4 linked regions of the Neurospora crassa OR74A genome follow. Each later gene encodes a partner of the first gene's protein in a complex. Links are inferred from orthologs where the notes say so. Each region holds a gene or a part of one and is shown in the gene's direction. Other genes may lie near its edges.

Evidence for each region.
Region 2: NCU02813 (region 1) and NCU05889 share a complex: the UniProt entries of both Schizosaccharomyces pombe proteins name them as parts of the eukaryotic translation initiation factor 3 (eIF-3) complex. The link is inferred for Neurospora crassa OR74A from reciprocal best matches to the Schizosaccharomyces pombe genes tif313 and int6.
Region 3: NCU02813 (region 1) and NCU03876 share a complex: the UniProt entries of both Schizosaccharomyces pombe proteins name them as parts of the eukaryotic translation initiation factor 3 (eIF-3) complex. The link is inferred for Neurospora crassa OR74A from reciprocal best matches to the Schizosaccharomyces pombe genes tif313 and sum1.
Region 4: NCU02813 (region 1) and NCU00040 share a complex: the UniProt entries of both Schizosaccharomyces pombe proteins name them as parts of the eukaryotic translation initiation factor 3 (eIF-3) complex. The link is inferred for Neurospora crassa OR74A from reciprocal best matches to the Schizosaccharomyces pombe genes tif313 and tif301.

The regions. Positions count from the first base shown.
Region 1 is NC_026501.1:9,033,787-9,038,906, forward strand, and holds NCU02813 (eukaryotic translation initiation factor 3 subunit M), read left to right. Parts: upstream 1-1,896; 5' UTR 1,897-2,352; coding exon 2,353-2,894; intron 2,895-2,966; coding exon 2,967-3,729; 3' UTR 3,730-4,184; downstream 4,185-5,120. Other genes in the region: prd-4 (serine/threonine-protein kinase chk2), read right to left, coding at 1-129, 274-318; NCU02812 (uridylate kinase), read right to left, coding at 4,555-5,120. UniProt on the Schizosaccharomyces pombe protein: Component of the eukaryotic translation initiation factor 3 (eIF-3) complex, which is involved in protein synthesis of a specialized repertoire of mRNAs and, together with other initiation factors, stimulates binding of mRNA and methionyl-tRNAi to the 40S ribosome.
Region 2 is NC_026507.1:4,173,785-4,179,012, reverse strand, and holds NCU05889 (eukaryotic translation initiation factor 3 subunit 6), read left to right. Parts: upstream 1-1,984; 5' UTR 1,985-2,325; coding exon 2,326-2,742; intron 2,743-2,814; coding exon 2,815-3,729; 3' UTR 3,730-4,502; downstream 4,503-5,228. Other genes in the region: NCU05890 (hypothetical protein), read right to left, coding at 564-614, 892-1,338; NCU11305 (hypothetical protein), read left to right, coding at 4,901-4,962, 5,218-5,228. UniProt on the Schizosaccharomyces pombe protein: Component of the eukaryotic translation initiation factor 3 (eIF-3) complex, which is involved in protein synthesis of a specialized repertoire of mRNAs and, together with other initiation factors, stimulates binding of mRNA and methionyl-tRNAi to the 40S ribosome.
Region 3 is NC_026506.1:1,994,311-1,999,418, reverse strand, and holds NCU03876 (eukaryotic translation initiation factor 3 subunit 2), read left to right. Parts: upstream 1-1,838; 5' UTR 1,839-2,100; coding exon 2,101-2,150; intron 2,151-2,277; coding exon 2,278-2,875; intron 2,876-3,007; coding exon 3,008-3,400; 3' UTR 3,401-3,883; downstream 3,884-5,108. Other genes in the region: NCU03877 (C-1-tetrahydrofolate synthase), read right to left, coding at 13-33, 99-795; crf4-1 (chromatin remodelling complex ATPase chain ISW1), read right to left, coding at 4,351-4,488, 4,556-5,108. UniProt on the Schizosaccharomyces pombe protein: Component of the eukaryotic translation initiation factor 3 (eIF-3) complex, which is involved in protein synthesis of a specialized repertoire of mRNAs and, together with other initiation factors, stimulates binding of mRNA and methionyl-tRNAi to the 40S ribosome.
Region 4 is NC_026503.1:2,371,986-2,375,197, reverse strand, and holds the end of NCU00040 (eukaryotic translation initiation factor 3 110 kDa subunit), read left to right. Parts: coding exon 1-1,088; 3' UTR 1,089-1,557; downstream 1,558-3,212. UniProt on the Schizosaccharomyces pombe protein: RNA-binding component of the eukaryotic translation initiation factor 3 (eIF-3) complex, which is involved in protein synthesis of a specialized repertoire of mRNAs and, together with other initiation factors, stimulates binding of mRNA and methionyl-tRNAi to the 40S ribosome.

The DNA.
Region 1 (5,120 bases):
AGAGGGTAATTGTTTGGTGGTCTTGAGGGGCGTCTTCTGCTTGGGTTCGGGGCTGTCGCCGGTGCGCTGGGAGGAGAGGCGCTCGGAGCGACGGGGTTTCTTGAAGGAATCGTTGTCGTCGGTAGAACCCTGAAGTAAAGCGCATATTAGTCGACGGAGCATGCTTGGTGGTGACGCAATGCGCCATGGACTACCTAATCAAAAGCTCGAGGTATAATGTAGTCATGACATAGCATGACATGACATATGGGATGGGGGAGTGGATGGACGTACGCGAGCTCTCTTAAGAGTGCTGCTGCCTTCAGCTCGGGGAGCCATGGCTGCTGGGATTGTAGGGCAACGAGTCGAGTGGTGTGTTGGTCAGTCAATGCCGGAGCTGAGGATTCGATTCAAAAGAGAGGATCTCAAATGATCAAGTGGCGGGATGGTGTGTTCCAGGAAGGTTGTATGTAGAGTAGAGTGGAAAAAGATGGGGTGGTGGTGGTGGTGGTGGTGACGGCGCCGGGCTGGGGAGAATGACTGACTGAGTGAACTGAATGATGCTACTGTGCAGTTCGCGAGGGACTGGGATAGGCCGCGGGCAGTGCTAAGGTATTGGGGGGGGGGGGGGCCTCCACCAGAAAGCAACCATACAACGTCAGGGACTCACAGTGTACATTACCTTACAACCTAGGCCTTGATGACCGCGCCCCAAGTGGAAGCTTCCCTTTTCCTCACTTTCTTCCACTTTTTCGCTTGGAAATCACGCCGCGCCTCGCCATAACTCCACTCTTTTGGCGCGTCTAAGTCAACAAATCCACAGAAAGGGAAACAGCATCCAGTTGACAACATTGATTTTATTCAGTGCTCTATGAAATATCCACGTGTATATACAATCTGAGTTATACCCCCACGGGGCTTTGTTTACTGTTGCTGTCTCTGTACGCTAGGTACACTTGTTGACTTTCTTTCGGCGGTGCACACCCTCAGCCCTGGTTGAATGTCACCATGTGCATTGCATACATAGTAGCGTAGGGCTGGTTGGTCATCACTCTTTTTCTCGGGAATCTATTGTGGGTTCATTGTGACTCTTCACCATCCTTCTGGGCTGTCAGGCGTGCCGGTCATTTGTTATTTTGAGACTCCCATCACGTCAGTGGAAAAGGGAAGGAGCTGATACAATATCCTCAGGCTGTAATGGAAGGTGGCCGTTGCCCGGGTCACCACCACACTTTTAAGTGTCTGCCTGGATATCCGATTCGGATGCCCCGTGACCCCCTCTTTGCTTCCCGCTTCTGTTTGTGTTTTAGGTGACCTAGCTTACAAAGGTGACTGTTGCAACTGGCTAGAGTCCCATTTTTGTCCTGATGGATACGATGGTGAAAAGTCGAAAAGAAAATATTCGATGATGTAGCGAGTTCAATAGTTTTGTTTTGATGCAGCCGAATACTCCAATCAAGGTGTGTCGTCATTCCCGTGGTTGATATCTCCACAGCCCACGGCAAGTAACTGCGAACCTCGATCGAGTGCATCACATCATATAGGAAATCATATTGTTCGAGTGGTCAGAAATCTCGACTTGGATAATGGATTTGTCAAGTTCGAATCCTTCGATTATTCATCAGGTGCGTTTGTTGATATCCATGTAAGAGAATCATGGATGGGAATGTGACTTTAAGAAGATCGGATTTGGAGAAGCTGGGGACAATGTCAAGCGCACGGTGACAAGCAAAGGAAAAGGGACTGAAGCCCGGGAGCTTGACATTGTCAAAGACCTCGCTGGGACGGACCACCCCATGGGTCAGGGTTTTCTATGTCACAAGCAGATGACTGCAATAACCCTGACCATCGACACAGCTCCTGCACGTGACTGGCTGGAGCACACAGAACAGCTCTTCTTCAGCACAGGGCAAAAATAGGCGGTGGGCTTGGCATTGGAATGCGGGGCATTTTTTTGCTTTGAGAAATTGGGTCGAGGGTCCGGTCAGGTCTCTGTCGTCCATGGGATGAGAGAGGGACACCACACCACTCAGCGAGTCGAGGCCCAGGAACTGTGCAAAGAAAAAGAAAGAGCGGAGCCCTGCCACTAAGAAAACTTCCTTTGGGGCCCGCCCCTCCCTCCCACGTCTGACAGGATATCCGTATCGTTTCCGGCCAGTGTCGACCTTTAGCACCAGGACATACTATCAGATTGTCCCCGGCCATATTTTCCCCGTCGCCGTGTCCCCCGTCCGTCCCTGACTCCGTCCCGCCGTGTGTCTCGCCTCAACCCGACCTCACTCCAGCCTTGAGGTCCAAGTGGGAATAGTTCGATAGCCCCGTCGTCAAACAACCACACACGCACACACACACACACCGTCAACACCCATCAACATGGCTACCCCCCAGTTGATCTTCGTCGACGGCACCTTCGCCGAGCTGGCGCAGGAGATGGCCGACTTCGTCCAGGTCGGCGAGCAGGTCCAGCCTCTCCTCGAGCAGGACAAGCGCGAGGATGCCCTTGACCTCATCGTCAAGGCCTCCCACTCCCTCAACGCCGCCCCCGAGAAGGACTTCACCCCCGCCTACAACCTCCTCATCCACCTCGTCCTCCAGTCCGAGGAGCCCAAGAAGTACCTGCCCACCCTGTGCGCCAACCTTCTCAAGCCCATCACCTCGTCTCCCACCCACGGCTTCACCCTGGCCTCCAATGCGCTCACCACCATCTTCAACCTCCTCGACAAGTCCAACCCGCTGCGCTTCAATGTCTTTATGCAGATCGTCCGCTTCATCAGGCAAAACAGCCAGTTCGACCTCCTCAAGCCCAGGTTAAAGAACGTCGAGGGCTGGCTCCAGGAATGGAAGTCCGACTCGGAGAGCCAGCGCAAGCTCTACGTCGAGGTTTCCGATGCCGCCAACGACGGCGGTGATCAGGAGTGAGTATTTTACCTTTTATAGCATCATGCATTGTGCACCTTTACGGCTTCATGCTAACCTTTGGTCTGCAGGGAGTCCTACTTCTACCTCCTCAAGGCTCTGGCCACTTTCGACCGCGACAACCAGGACGAGGTCGCCTCCGACGAGGCCCAGAAGCTCTCCCTCCGCGCCCTCCGCATGGCCATCTCGTCGCCCACCCGCTTCGACTTCAACGACCTGCGCTCGCTCCCCTCGGTCCACGCCCTGAGCGACTCGCACCCCGTCTACTCGCAGCTCCTCGACATCTTCACCGAGCAGGACCTCGAGGACTACAACGACTTTAGGGACGAGCACCAGGGATGGATCGAGAACGAGAAGCTCGACCACGAGAAGCTGCAGCGCAAGATGCGCCTGCTCACCTTTGCGTCGCTCGCCGCCAGCACCCCGAACCGCGAGATCCCCTACGCCAGCATCGCCAAGGCCCTCCAAATCCCCGACGAGGACGTCGAGATGTGGACCATTGACGTGATCCGCTCCAAGCTGGTCGAGGGCCGCCTGTCACAGAAGCAAAAGGTGTTCTTGGTTCACCGCACCACCTACCGCGTCTTTGGCGAGAAGCAGTGGCGCGAGCTCGGCACCCGCGTCGACCAGTTCAAGACGGTCGTCGATAGGCTCGTCGGCGTCGTGCGCAAGGCCCAGACCGATGTCGAGGCCCAGCGTGAGCGTGAGCAGCAGGAGCTCGAGCGCAAGCTGGCCAACGCCGGTCTTGGCGAGTCGGAGCAGCGCGGCGGCAACCGGGGAGGACGTACCGGCGGTGCCAGACAGACGAGGCAACGCACGGATGATGATGACTGAAGGGGGGTTGCCAACAGGATGTTTTGCTGCAATAATTGGTTGTTGTTGTTAGTAGCATAGAGATATGGGGGGACCTTTCAAAAAGAAAAAAGAGCGATGTCTTGCCCCTGTATCATCCCGCTCGGTCATCAGTTCAGTTCAGTTCATTCGAATGGGAAAGGAATTCTACATCAAAACGGGTTGTTGTTGTTATCTATCAAGGAGTTGTGAGCCCCAAAAAAATACGGAACACTATTTTCAAGGTAGAGCTGCTACACTTTTTGGCGGATTTGCATTTTTGTTGTTGTTGTATCATTCCGAGGAATGGCAGCTTTAGATATCCAGCAATCATCAGGTTTTCTCTCTCCATTTATACATCAGTGATGGATGATATGATGCGTGAGGGCAAATCCAGAAAGGTGGAGTATAGATCATGATACCCAGGATATACAAGGCAACGGAAGCGTAATATCAATGCTTTTTGAGACAAGGTCTATGACCACCAGCAGCAAAGGGAACAATGAATCATCATGCTCAGGCTTCCCAACGATGAATAGTATAAACGCAATACCAAGCCATCTCGACATCTGGAAAAAGACAGAGCAAGTTCAATTTCCAAACGGGAGAAAACCATCCCCATCCATCCACGAACCGCCTCCGCGACTCCATCGCTCCGTCCCTTTCCAATAAATCTGTAGTAGTGTATAGTATTTTAAAAGTTTTTATCTAATGGAACGGCCAACCCCATCTCAGAATTAGTACCTAGAAACCAAGTTTACCTCAACCCCCCATCCCATCCCCGGAGTAAGACAAGTCAAGTCAATCCCCCCCCCCCCCCTACACTAACTAAAACTTATCCCCAAACACCCTCCTCAGCTGCTTTCTCGTCTCCTCATACACCTTCTCCGGCCCCGGCGTCGAATCCACCTTGACCACCTTTCCTTCCCTCTCATAGTGATCCACAACCGGCATGCTCGTCTCCACAAACGTCCTGAACCGCTTCCTGATACTCTCGGCATTATCATCTTCACGCCCGCTCGTCTTGCCTCTTTCCAGCAGTCTCTTCTCCATTTCTTGTTCCGGGCAATCATAGAACAACACCATTTTCGCAGGGCAAACGACCTCTTCGAACTTGACAGCTTGGTCCATCTTGCGCGGGAAGCCATCAATCAGGAACCTGCCTGTCTTGGTTTTGCCAGAGACCAGAGTGTCGCGCATGGCGTTCTCGAGAAGGGCCACGGTGACTTCCATGGGGACGATGGCGCCGTTCTTGATGCAGTCCCGGATAAGCTGGCCGTATTGGGAACCCGGGCGGTCTTGTTCGGCGCGGAGTAGGTCGCCGGCCGAGAGGTGGGTGAAGCCGTAGTCGCGCACGAGACGGGCGCATTGGGTGCCTTTGCCGGCGCCGGGGC
Region 2 (5,228 bases), on another chromosome or scaffold:
GGCCATCATGAACCTGCCGCGAACCTGTCATGAACCTGTCGTGAACCTGTCGTGAACTGTACCCAATGTGGCAACGCTGTGTATTTTTATATCGAGAATTCTCTCCCATGAAGCCTCGTCAAAAGTCTCCCCTAACCATGCATATCCCCTTCCGCACATCTCGCCTAAGCTCATAGCTGGGATAGCAAGATTCTTCGTCGTAGAGACAAATATCATTCGACCGCTTTTGTAAATCCTTTAGCCGCTCCTTACAACCCGTTTTGGTGATGATACATTGTCTCAACATGTGGTATATTCTTCCATCGTACACGCAATCCTCCTATTTACCCCTCGGTGATCCCACCGCGTAGCCGAGGACTCTCTATATATGTGACCACTCACTCGGTAGTCCTCGTCGCGGGCGACGAAGCATCCAGCACTTCCCGGAATATGCCCCAGCATGCTCTCCAGTCCGTGGCATGGAGCAGCATGGTATCTCTCCCGGTAATAGGTTGGTCCTCGTCGTGTTATGTGGACTTGTGGCTGCAAGCTCTAGAGGTTCATCGGTGTAACATCTTCCTCATTTAAAAGCCCAAGCCGTCCAGGAACTTGACGATTTCCTCTCTGCGGTGTCCCTGTTTATGTTGGTAGTCCGTTAGCACCTGTCCTTTCTGCTGCAGGTTTAACCCTCTTCTTGTTTTCTTATCGCCCTATTCTTTTCTCCCATCTCAACCCGTTGTCCATTGTCCCATGATCTTCGAACCTCTACCTCTTTGCCTCTCTTTCCGAACTTCCAACTCTTTTCCGATTTCTCTTCCATTCATTCCCTCACTCTTGATGTCATACTGCCTCACCCTTCTTGCAAATAGCAGCAAACCGGCAATGCAAAAAAACCAAACAAAAAAAACTTACATCAACCTCCAAATGTCCTGTCGGCACCTTCACCCGCACCTCCTTCACCTCCAGCCCCAAGAACTGCGCAAGATCCCTGCGCAGAGCCTGGCCATCACCTTGCACCTTCTTGATCTGGGTGAGCTTCTTGTTACCACCGCGCTTGGCGAGGTGGTAGACGGGCAGACGCTGGGTCCAGGCGCGGCCTACTAGGTAGGGCTTCGCAACGGGTTTCGTGGATTCTGTTGGCGCGGCACCGGTCTGGGTCTGGATAGGGGTGGTGGGTTGTGTGGTGGGCTGCTGCTGCTGCTGCTGCTGGAGTGGTGTCGTTGTTGTGGCTGTTGTTGTTGGTTGCGATGCGGCGGCAGCGGCGGAGTAGAATCGGGACTGGAAGGCGGCGCGGACGGTGAGGGGCGTCGCGGGCTGGACGATGGCCCGGGAGAGGCCGAAGAAGGTCGAGCGGAACATGGTTGTGGTGTTGTGTTGTGTCGTGTGGTGGTGTGGTGGTGGTGGTAAAGACAGAAAGAGGTCGAATCGATCGAGCTGGGCTCGGTTGGTCGCAACGGGATCTGATAGGTAGGTAGGTAGGTAGGCTTGGCTGGGATCTGGAGTTAGGTCAGACTGGACCTGCGCTGCGGCCAAGAGGTCCCCGTTTCGGATGAGGCGCGTTCAATTGCTGGCTCGCTGGAGTCGGATCGGTCCCGCGTCCCGTGCCCTGGGCCGTGTTCCTCTCGGCGCGGCGGGTCCGTCGTCGGGTTCTGGAAATTTGGTCGGTACTCGGCAGAATTATTGACCGCCCGGGCGTCCCCGCGTAGGTACCCGCGCAGGTGCTCTGCCCCCCGTCCGGCGGGATGTGCGCCGAGCGAGAGGGACGAAAGCCTGAAACTGTGTGCCCAGGGCGTTCGCTGAAGCTCCAGGCCTTGGGGTGCCTGATCTGGGCTCTACACTTACCCCTCCCGTGGTGCCTAGACGGAAGTGGAAGTGGAAGTGGCACCGCATTCAGCTGCCGTGCAATTGTTGTGCGACAGAGGCAGCATTGAACCGAATTCGATGGCCCGTGCTTTTTGTCACTGGTCAGTGGTGTCAAGCGCATTTTCCCAATTTTCGACCCCACCAAAGATTGACGACGGGCCACCACAACTGGACGGGGTCACAAAGAGAAATTTGGCGGATCGCATTTCCAAAGCGCCTGGCAACTGAACGAACGAAGCTGGAGACCGGACACGCCCTTTCCATCCATATTCCTCTTCCTTTCACTTCTGATAGTAGTCGACCGACCCTCCCCCGGCCCTCTATCTTATCCCACCCACCGTAATACCCCCCCTCTCTCCTCTCCAGGCCTCGACTCGACCCGATTCCGACTTGACCTTGTCGTCGTCCACTCAGTGTCGTCTGTCATCACCACCATCCAACATCATCACCACCACCATAGTCACAGACACACAAATCCAAAACATGGCTTCCACATCCCCCGCCACCACCAACGGCGACGTTGCGCCCGCCAACTATGACCTCGTCCTCAAGCTCGCTCCCCATCTCGACCGCCACATGATCTTCCCTCTCCTCGAGTTCAACGCCGGCCGCCTTAAGGAAGATGAGACCGACAAGGCTCGCGAGATCCTCGCCGCCAAGTACGCCCTCCTCAAGAAGACCAACATGACCGACTACGTCGCCAACCTCTACTGCGAGCTCGAGGGTCTTAAGGAGCCCCCCGCCGAGTACGCCGAGCGCCGCCAAAAGGTCTTCCACCAGCTCGAAAAGTACGAGCAGGAGACTGCCAAGATCACCGAGCTGCTGCAGCGCGACGATGTCGTTAACAACCTCCGCTCCGACAAGGTGGCCAACTTGGAGTTCTTGAAGAAGGAGCACGACGTACGTCCTACTTTTTGTTTCCATCGGCACATGTGGCTTGTAGTACATGGCTAACCCCCATATCCTGTGCAGGTCACCATCGACATGGTCAACGCCCTCTACGACTTTGGCCAGCTCCAGTACTCGTGCGGCAACTACGCCGACGCCTCGGAGCTCCTCTACCGCTTCCGCGTCCTCTCCACCGACAACGACAAGGTCTCGTACGCCACATGGGGTCGTCTCGCCTGCGAGATCCTCACCATGAACTGGGAGTCCGCCATGGAGGAGCTGCAAAAGGTGCGCGAGAGCATCGACACCAGGCTCGCTAACAACCCCCTTGCTCAGCTGCAGCACCGCACCGAGCTCGTCCACTGGGCCCTCTTCCCCCTCTTCAACTACGACAAGGCCCGTGAGCCCCTCCTCGACCTCTTCTTCAACGCCGGCTTCATCAACACCATCCAGGCCAACTCGCCCTGGATCCTCCGCTATCTCACCGTCGCCGTCATCACCAACCGCGGCCGCGCTAAGAACGCCGGTGTCCACCAGAAGCAGATGAAGGACGTTGTTCGCATCGTCAAGCAGGAGGCCTACGAGTACCAGGACCCCATCACCCGCTTCGTCCACGCCTTGTGCATCGACTTTGACTTTGAGGAGGCTCAGCAACAGCTCGTGCTTGCCGAGGAGGTCCTCAGGAGCGACTTCTTCTTGCTCGCCCACGCCGATGACTTTGTCGACTCGGCCCGCCACCTCATCTTCGAGAGCTACTGCAAGATCCACGCCCGCATTTCGCTCAAGGACCTCAGCGCCCGCCTCGGTCTTAATAACGACGACGCCGAGAAGTGGATTGTCAACCTCATTCGCGACACCCGCCTCGACGCCAAGATCGACTACAAGGAGGGTACCGTTGTCATGAACCACCCCCCGAGCTCCGTGTATCAGCAGGTCATTGAGCGCACCAAGGGCGGTTTCTTCAGGACGCAGGTTTTGACTGCTGCTGTTGCCAGATAGGCGTGTGACAATAGCGGCAGTGGAGAACTGACTGATGGTGGCGGCAGAAGTATACCCGGGTCGACATGTCAGGAAAGCAAGGGCGATAAGAGGATTGTGAAGGAATGATTATGGCATGGGCTCGATCGCAACGCATGAAAGCGGCGACTGATTTCTCGTCGAATGTGAGACCAAGATTATCGCCGACGATTGGAACGCGGCGAGCATCAAGTGGCCAGGCGAACTCAGTCGCTTCATGGCAGGCGAACTGCTTCAGCGTATGGGCTTCAACTTGACCAGGACGAGTCTCGGATAGATCCCCTCCCAGCATCTTTTATGCCATTGCAATGAGAGGATTTGAAAGTGCGAATCCAAAAAGGGTTAGCGATGCATTTCGAAGAATAGACCTTTTTTTTCTTCTTTCGTTCTCATCTGCCTCGATAGTCTTCTCTATCTCTCAGCGTTTGGCAATTGTCGCTATTTGTCGTGTGGGCATGGGCTCGGGCGGTAGAGGCAGCAAGGGAATTAGGACAATGGAAGGAGGCCTTTTACGTCATGACAACAACCGGTGTAATCATACCTCTTTAGTGTGTGTGTTTTTTCTTTTTACAGGCTTCTCATCAGGCGTATCAAAATGGTTATGGCTCATTGCTTTTAGCTGGCTTATGAGTCAGGTTGCCTTTCCCATCAGTAACATTGTTCATCGCATCATGGTAACCTCCACTTGGTCCCTTCTTTATAGCAACTGAGCTGGGGTGATCAACCAGGAAAAACTGTGGCAACCAATTATTGAGGTATGCTCCTTCCCTTCCTCCATATCTGCGTGGTATCGTCCATCTCCCGCCTCTTCCCTTTTCACTCTTCTACCAGGGGCATTCTTATTTTCGTCCTTTCCAGCCTCCAATCAACATACAATATCCAAGCCACCAAGTTGGGCAGTTGTATTTGTCGCAGAACGACCAATGGCTGCCCGATACAGTTTCCAGCTAGGTAGGTTCATACGGCACAGGCTGACAGGCTGCAGCTGTATTGATATGGCGTTACCCCCGCTTCGAGTCCTTGTCTCCTTGAATTTTCAGTATGCCCGTCCTCGTTCATGAAAGATTTTGTGGAATCCCGTCATAACATCAGGCCTCTTCTATCTGAGATACGTAACCTGTCTTCAGGTTCAGTTCTTCCGCAGTCAGCAACGATGGTCAGAGCGCAGGGTATTTCGTTGCTCTTTGAACCGAATGATGTCGAGCCCGAGCTTGAGTGAGTCCGCCACTCCTATCTCATCCATTCAATGACTGTAGTTCGGGGCACACTGTTCAACGCGGCTTGCAGCATTATTTTCATCCATGGCTTCACAGGTCATCCACGCTTGACTTGGACGATTGATCAAAAAAAGGCTGAGAGAAGAAGAAAGGCAAATAGCGATGCCCCGAGCCACAATGTTCACAAAAGTGCGCAAACAGCAGACGTTTACTGGCCAAAGGACCTGGTTCCAGTAACGCTACCATCTGCCAGGGTCATGACTT
Region 3 (5,108 bases), on another chromosome or scaffold:
GTCTCAACGTACAGGAATCGGATCGATCACCAACTGCAGTCAACTGGTTAGCCACTGGGTTTCATCTGCAAAAGCACGCAGCACACACACAAGCGCACCTTGGATGATCTTGAGGCAGGGGCGGAAGCGCGGGTTGGTCTTCTTGGTCTCGTCGATGGTAGCGCGGAGACCGTCGCGGATGCGCTTGGCCAGCGCGGTGCCGTCGATCTTGGAGGCCATTGCTGCTTCAGGCTCCCTTGTTGCGGCTCTGGGAGAAGCTAAACTGGAATATGTCCTGATGGAGCTGCGCGGATGGCCAAAAGCAGCAGCGTATCGAGAGACAGGACCCTGAATGTGAGAGAAGCGGGAGGAGGAAGATGGTGCAAAGGGTAAAGTGTCAGGCAGAGGCAGAGTTGAAGATGAGGGGGAGAGCAGCGCATTAGCTCCAAAATCGCTAGCAGCTGCTGCCCCGGCGCATGACGGTGACACCAGAATCGACCCCGTAAGCCCCGTCACTGGAGATAGGCGCCAATAACGGGATTTCTTAGGGCGGCTGCAGGTGGATCGCGGGGCGGCGGAGAAGTCAGTGGTACCAGCTGCAGAGGCGACGAAAGCCGAGGTAGAGCTCCGAGAGTCGGATTCCGTGCCCCACGACAATGTCCATCTTTTGAGCACGTCTTGTCCCGTATGCTCGACTTGAATGCGCCGCCGTGTGTTCAGCGACCCGTGTGCGGACAGGGATGTGAGACAGCTTCCGGCTCGACGCGACTTCCTTGACGTGGAAGACACCCTCTGGATGAAGCTGGAGATGGCCATGCCTACACGACGCAGACTGGTACTGTAGAGCTAGAAGAAGGGTGCAGTGGTCTTTCTGCGTGCGTGCTGTAACAACATCACACTGAACAGCAGCGGACGCAGGCTCGGGGTAAGGGATATTCAGAAGCTCAAGACTTCCGCCCGGCCAAGCTCTCTCGACGCCCCCGGGCACCTCCACGACGGGGTGGGACCAGACGGATTCGGGACCCAGGGGTTTTCTGCGCCGCACAGAAGAGTCACAATGGGTTCCCGCCTAGGTAGACGACGGGGGATCGATGTCGAGGATCCAATGATCGCCGGTTTGCTGGCGGGAATAGAGGTTTCGTGATTTGTGATTTTTTTTTCTTTTTTTTTTCTTTCTTTCCCTTCTCGAGGAGTCACCGAAGGTGAGCGTCTCAAGACGTGCCGCAAATGACCAGTGTAAATGTGACAACAAAACGTGAAGCCAATGAGATAACCTAAATAGAATAGAGCCCAAACCCAAGCTTCTCAAAATAGTACGTATTCACCATGCATTCTTGCAAGAATCCTACCATGTCTCGTTAGAAAAGCCTCTATTTCCGTCTACAAATCTCCGAGAGTTGAAGAACTTTTCCTCCTCGATGCGACCCCCGGAAGAGGGCATTCATATAACTGCAATTGAAGTGGGTGTCTAGATGCTGCATCCATGACTCTACAAGTTCTCGGCTTGCTGCAGGTAGCAGCTCGGATCATGATGTGCTCGCACTGTCCTGTCTGTGTCGTTGTTCTAGATTGAAGTTGGTGTGGCTTGCGGCCGCGGCACAGGCTTGACGAATACAGCTGACTCTTAAACTCTGAGTCACAGACTGAGCCACAACTTCTTATCGGTGGCTGTCGACGGGCCGGCAGGCTGCGAGCGGCGGATCGAGGTGGCAGGCTGCATCGCAAGGTCCAGAGTCCGGTCCGAACTGAAACCAGCAGCTTCAATGGATGGCACACGGCTGGCTGGGACGAGGGACTGGAGAGGGGCAGCTTGGCATCTGCAGGGATAGGTGTTGGTTCGCCCCGCGGCCGTCAGAATCCGCCAGAGCCAGCCAGCCTATCGCGCACAATCTGCGGAAAAATTACTGGGAGTGGAAATCCACCCAAAGAAAGAACACCAAAGACCGATCCGACGACGACGACCGCATCTACAAAGACACTAATCCACCCACCTACCTCCCAAGTCGTGCAACCCCCCCCCGCGATATTTCTCGACGACGAATCCACTCAGTGTCTTCTAACGACCATAACACTTCCATACCGCCGTCCACGCCTCGTCATATTTAATAACCCACAATCAAGATGAGGCCCATTCTTCTTTCGGGCCACGAACGTGCCCTCACCCAGATCAAGTTCGTCTTCCCTCCGCATCATCATCGCATACCTTACCCGCCGACCCGACCCCTCTTGGTGTTCTGGCTTTGGCATGTCGGGCATATAGAGATGCAGCCTCTAACAGCAACCCTTTACCCCCAACAGGTACAACCGCGACGGTGATTTGCTCTTCTCAGTTTCCAAGGACCAGCAGATTTGCGTTTGGTTCGCGCACAACGGCGAGCGTCTCGGTACATACCACGGCCACCAGGGCGCCATCTGGACCATTGATGTCGACCCCACATCCACCATCCTCGCCTCTGGTTCTGCCGACAACACCATCCGCCTTTGGGAGATCAAGACCGGCAGACTTCTTAAGACATGGGACTTCCCTACCGCCGTCAAGCGCGTTGAGTTCAGTGAGGATGGCAGCAAGCTTCTGGGTGTGACGGAGAAGCGCATGGGTCATCTGGGTACCATCGTTGTCCTCGACATCAAGCTCGATGTTGACGCCGAGCAGAGCGATGAGAAGGCCATGACTATCGTTTGCGAGGACAGCAAGGCCACTGTTGCTGGCTGGAGTTATCTCAGCAAGTACATCATTGCCGGCCACGAAGACGGCTCCGTCTCCCAGTTCGACGGCAAGAACGGCGACCTCCTCTACAACATCCCCATCCACGAGCTCAACCAGCCCATCACCGATCTCCAGTGGTCGCACGACCGTACATACTTCATTACCGCCTCCAAGGACAAGACCTCCAAGGTATGTCACATGGCTCCACAACCCCCCCCCCCCCCCTTTTTTTTTTCTTTCTTTGGTCTTCTTCCCGGATCCTTAAAACCGAAATCAATGAACAGTCAATCGCATGCTAACACTCCTTGATTATTTTCACAGCTCATCACAGCTAAGGACCTGGAGGTCCTCAAGACCTACCCCGCCGACACCCCTCTTAACAGCGCTACCATCACTCGCAAGAAGGACTTCGTCATTCTCGGTGGTGGTCAGGCTGCCATGGATGTCACCACCACCTCCGCGCGTCAGGGTAAATTCGAGGCGCGTTTCTACCACAAGATCTTCGAGAGCGAAATTGGTCGTGTGCGCGGTCACTTCGGTCCCCTCAACACGGTTGCCGCCGACCCGACCGGCAAGAGCTACGCCAGCGGTGGTGAGGACGGTTACGTCCGTATCCATCACTTCGACAAGGGTTACTTTGACTTTATGTACGAGGTCGAGAGGGAGAGGCAAAACAAGCTCAACCAGCAACAACAGCAGACCATTTCTGCCTAAACGGATCCCTTCTATCGACATCGATCGAAACTTTCGGACTTTCAGCAAGCAGGATCCGAGGAGGGGCGGCAGAAAGGGGCGGAAAGGCGATTCGCGGGACGAAATATGGGTGTCGTGTTATTGAGTTCAGGATTCTCTCGACTTGTCGGAGGAAGGAAATGAGCAAACGGGTTATTTTACATCGCGCGTCCAGGGATCCAACAATTTGGGGGAAATGGGCATTTCACAAACGGCGTTTTTTTCAGGCAACCTAATCTGAGAATTTGGGCGATTCCACCCAATATTTGGTGAAAAAAAAAGTGAAAAGGAGCAAAAATTGGAGCGATGAGGTGGTGCGGTTCGATGTGAAGCAAACGAACGAACAAGTGAGTCGCGCGGAGAGCGGATATGTAATTTCCATCTTGTCACGAAAGGAACCTTTGGTCCCTATCGAAGCACAGAAGAGTCATTTGTCATAGTTGAATTCGGTCGTTCTTCTGCTTACTATCTTGCGCAACCTCGTTCATGTGATATCAGATTGGACGTTATAAGTAGAGGTCTTTCGCCAATTGCTTACTCACTCCCTTATGGTCAATAAGAATCCAACACAAGTGGAAACAATAATACAGGGGTAAAGGAAGTACAAGACTGCGCACATCATGCCCTATTCATCCATCAGAGAACGGATTTGACCAAAAGGATATCTTTTGTTCCTCAGGTAGGCAGAGAAATCCCTCGCTAAATGACGGCAGGTGAGATAACCATCACCGAGACCGCAACATGAATACGACACAACGGAAACGCCGCGAGCCAACTGCATTAACCCTCCCTGGACTCTTCTCAGTGGTGAACCGAGCCCCTTCACCCAATCTAACCCAGTCATATGAAACGCAACTACAGCTTCGAATACCAAGCCAAGTCAATACATGTGCCGTAGCTTGTATTTTTGGTCTGGACCACCATCAGGCGGTCTACTTCTTCTTTCCCTTGGGGGCAGCCTTGCCCTTTGTCGCCTTCGATTCCGTCGACGCCACGCTTGACGCGCGCGAAGGGGCAGCCGAGGTGGCTTTGCTACCGGACGCTGACTTGACGTTGTCTAGCGCTTTGTTCTGTTACGCGGGTAAATTCAAGTTAGTACGAACATCTCCAAAGTGAGAAAAGCAGGGGATGGTTTACCTTGACACCATTAGCCTTGGTCTTCTTCTTGGCAGGAGCCAGGCCCAAAACACTGTCTTCGTCATTGTCTTCATCATTCGCTTCACGCTTGAGCTTGCCATTGACCCCGTTCACCTTGGCCTTGGTGGTGTTGCTAGGCTCGTCCTCAAACTCTTTGACGATCGTCGTCAGCAGAGTGTTGCAGCGACGGCTGATCTCAATGGGAGTACGGCTAAGGAAGAACCAATCGAAGCGAAAAAGAGGGCTCTCGCGGATCTCATCCCGGATCTTCTCGTAGATGCCCTCGGAATCGACGCCATACTTGTCCAGCATCACCAGAAGGAATCTGTCCTCCTCCTCCGTATAGACCTTCTTGTTAGTCGTCGAGACAGTGTAGTTGATCTTCAGTTGCTGCAATGGCACACGGTACTGGCTCATCTTCTTGCGCAACATCTTGCGCTGGTGTTCAATCTTGCGCATACGTTCCTCACCATCCTCAATGACCTTGAGGTATTTGTTATAGTCCGCGATCTCGGTATACCGTTGCCAAAATACCTTGGCATAGGCCTTGATC
Region 4 (3,212 bases), on another chromosome or scaffold:
TCAAGCTCCAGCAACTCGAACGTGAGAAGAACAGCGTCGCCGAGAAGCTCCGGATCACCGGCAAGCGTCTTGATCATCTTGAGCGTGCCTTCAGAAAGGAGGAGGCTAAGAAGCTCCCCGAAGACTACGCCAAGCAGCGCGAGCGCGATCTCGCTGCCTACGAGCGTACCAAGGCACAGACTCTCAAGGAGGCTGAGCTTAAGCACAAGGCTGATGTTGAGCTTAAGCACCGTCTCACTCGCCTCATGCCCTTCTACGAGTCCTTTAGGTCTGACCTGCACGAGCGTCGCCGTGATGAGTTCGAGAAGCGCCGTCGTGATGCCGAGCGTGAGATGGAGAAGCAGATCAACGCCCGCCGCAAGGAGGCCCGCGAGAAGAGGATCCGCGAGAAGCGCGAGCGTGAGGAGCGTGAGCGTCAGCTCCGCGAGGCCGAGGAGCGCGCCGCCAGGGAGAAGGAGGAAGAGAGGAAGCGTCTGGAGGCTCGCCGGGAGGAGCTCCAGCGTCTCAAGGAGGAGAAGGAGAAGGAGCGTGAGAAGTTGCGCGAGATTGCTGCTCGCCAGCAACAGCGCGAGGAGGAGGCCATGGCCAGGCGCAAGGCCGAGAAGGAGAAGCTTGCCGCGACCCCTTCTGCTTACAGACCCCCCGCGGCTGCGGAGCGTACCGAGGCTGCTGCTCCTCCCCGCATTGCCCTCGCTGGCAACCGCCCCAGCTGGAGAGAGCGCGAGGCCGCCAAGGCCGCCTCTGGAGAGACCGCCGCTCCCGCACCTGCTGCCGCCGAGCCCGTTGCCGAAAGACCCCGTGCCGCTGCCCCCCCTGCGGAGAGGACAGAAGCTGCTGCTCCTCCCCGCCTGGCCCTTGCCGGCAACCGCCCCAGCTGGCGTGAGAGAGAGGCTGCCAAGGCCGCCTCCGGAGGTGGTAATGCTGCGGCCGTCCCTGAGAGGAGCGCTCCTCCTCTCAGGGCTGCCGCCCCTCAGAGAGCTGGATCCGGTCGTCCTGAGAATGACAGGGACGTCCCTCCTGCGGAGCCCTTGAAGGCGAGCGGTGCTCCCGGCAAGTACGTTCCCAAGTGGAGACGTGAGGGTGCTTAAGAGTCTATCTCTTTGCACTTGTTCTCATGGGAGTTAAGGGTTGTTCGCGCTCCCTTTTTTACGAGGTTCATGTAAACTAGCATCACGTAATATGGGGAGCACCTCTTGCAGTATAGACTGGACTAAAAGTGGTTGTGCGTTTTTCTTCACGTTTATCATTCATTCATTCAAATGGTCCCAGTCCTCCCAGACGTTGATGGTTAATGGTCATGACAAGTCCCAAAAGCTGTTTACAACTTCTTCATGCGGCGACCGCTTTTACGGTACTTGATCAATCTCTTTATGTTCCGTGTAACGTCTTATAGCGTACCTTTGTAATTCAGCGACAATTTGACCAAAGATCCGAGGGCTTGGTTTCGGGGTAATTCGAAATTACGTTGCAATATTAAAGGACGAGTTACTCTCCGTCCACCGTCGCAGCTCCACTGATCAAGATGAGGACGGGGCAGCGATCGACCCCAAAACCCCGTCGCTTGGGAACACCCCGGTCGACGATCACTGCTTTCACCACGGTGACAAAGACACAAAAGTCTTCAACAAAGCTTTTCGTTTTACTTTTCCCAATTTCAAGAAAAACTGTTCCATCGGCTCTGTTTCACACTCCCCGGTACTACACTACCTGACGTGCTAACCTACCCCCTGAGTTTGTCGCATCAGCCTCCTTCCAAACATCCCGCCATCGCACCGTGTTTTCCGGCTGTCGCGTCATCATCCGTCGTTGTCGCACCTCGCCGTTGTCAATATTGCACTTTTGATATTGCTCAGGGGGTTTCTTTGACGTTTCGCAATGCCTGCTACGACGGTGACCGGGAGAACTGAAAGGGAGAGCCGGGGAAGTGAATTTGGGACATAGGACATGCATGGCTGGACATGTCGATAGGTAGGTATTTGTGTATATATACTATATATTACGTGTCGTGAGGAACTCCATATTACCAAATTTTCTCGCGCTTGCTGTGCCATTCTGAGAGGTTTGTCATCACCCTCGTATGCAGTGAGGCACCCTACAACACGAGGTTGTGGCTGATAAACCTTTCCGACGTTTGTTTTCTAGCGCGAACTACCTTGTTGACGGCCTTGTTATGGGCCAAACTTGTGACTGATCAAATTCGGGCAAGCAATATCTGGATTGGGATTGTCTAATGTCTGCTTTGGGACAAATGGTTACCGTTGTGGAAATTCGAAGGAATCTTCATGTGCCACAAATGACCACAAAAAACAAAACACAAGAAAAAAAGAAGATATTTGGACATGGGTGATTATGAAGGAAAGAGTCGCCAGACTTACTTGGGTCTTTACTGCATAGGTACAGGGTTTCAGATTGACATTTGACATCGAGACATGGTGGGATATCTGGTCTTATTGTTTGGGTTCTATGCTTTTTCTTCGATCTTTCCCGAGAGAAGTGTGAAGAGAGGCGCAATACTATTTAATGTATGTCTCAACATCAGTACACCTCCCGCTCTCGTGACAATAACTTGGGTTTTTATGATATAACCAGTAGTAGTAATTCTTCCGGAATTACGAGGCATCCGCGAAGGAACGCATAGCCTCGTCACGGTACTCGAATTTTTCCACTCCAGATCGATGCATCCTTCTTCGAGGGCAAACCGCGTCATGTACGAGAGGATTCTGCAGCCCAGCGGGTGATGATGGGCACAGCCTTATTTTCCATGTAGTCTGCTCTTGGTCCCTTGGCCCCATCGAACAGTTGCAGATGTTCAGATTGGGTAATTTGTGTAGTTGTCAGGCTGCTGAAGCAGACCTCAAAACCATCGTAATTACCGTGCTGTAGTTCTCGCTCTCGGGAGAGGTAAACATGTAATGGTAGTCTGGGCATATAGATGTCTCCAAGCTTGAAGCCGTGATATGGTGAGATCAGGACATCGTTAATGGTATATGGTTGGCTTCTTACTCCTTTATTCCAATGGTCATTGCGTAGTACTTCTTAAAGGTTGTAGCCGTTGATGGCCCCTGGATTAAATTAACAGCTGCAACTCAATATCCATACAGAAATAAAGATGAGAATGCGAAGTTGAAGATGGCAATTAAGGAAGTTGAAAAGTAAGAATCGCGTAACGCCGTGAGACTGATATCATCTAGCCTCAAAGGCGTTGAAGGAGA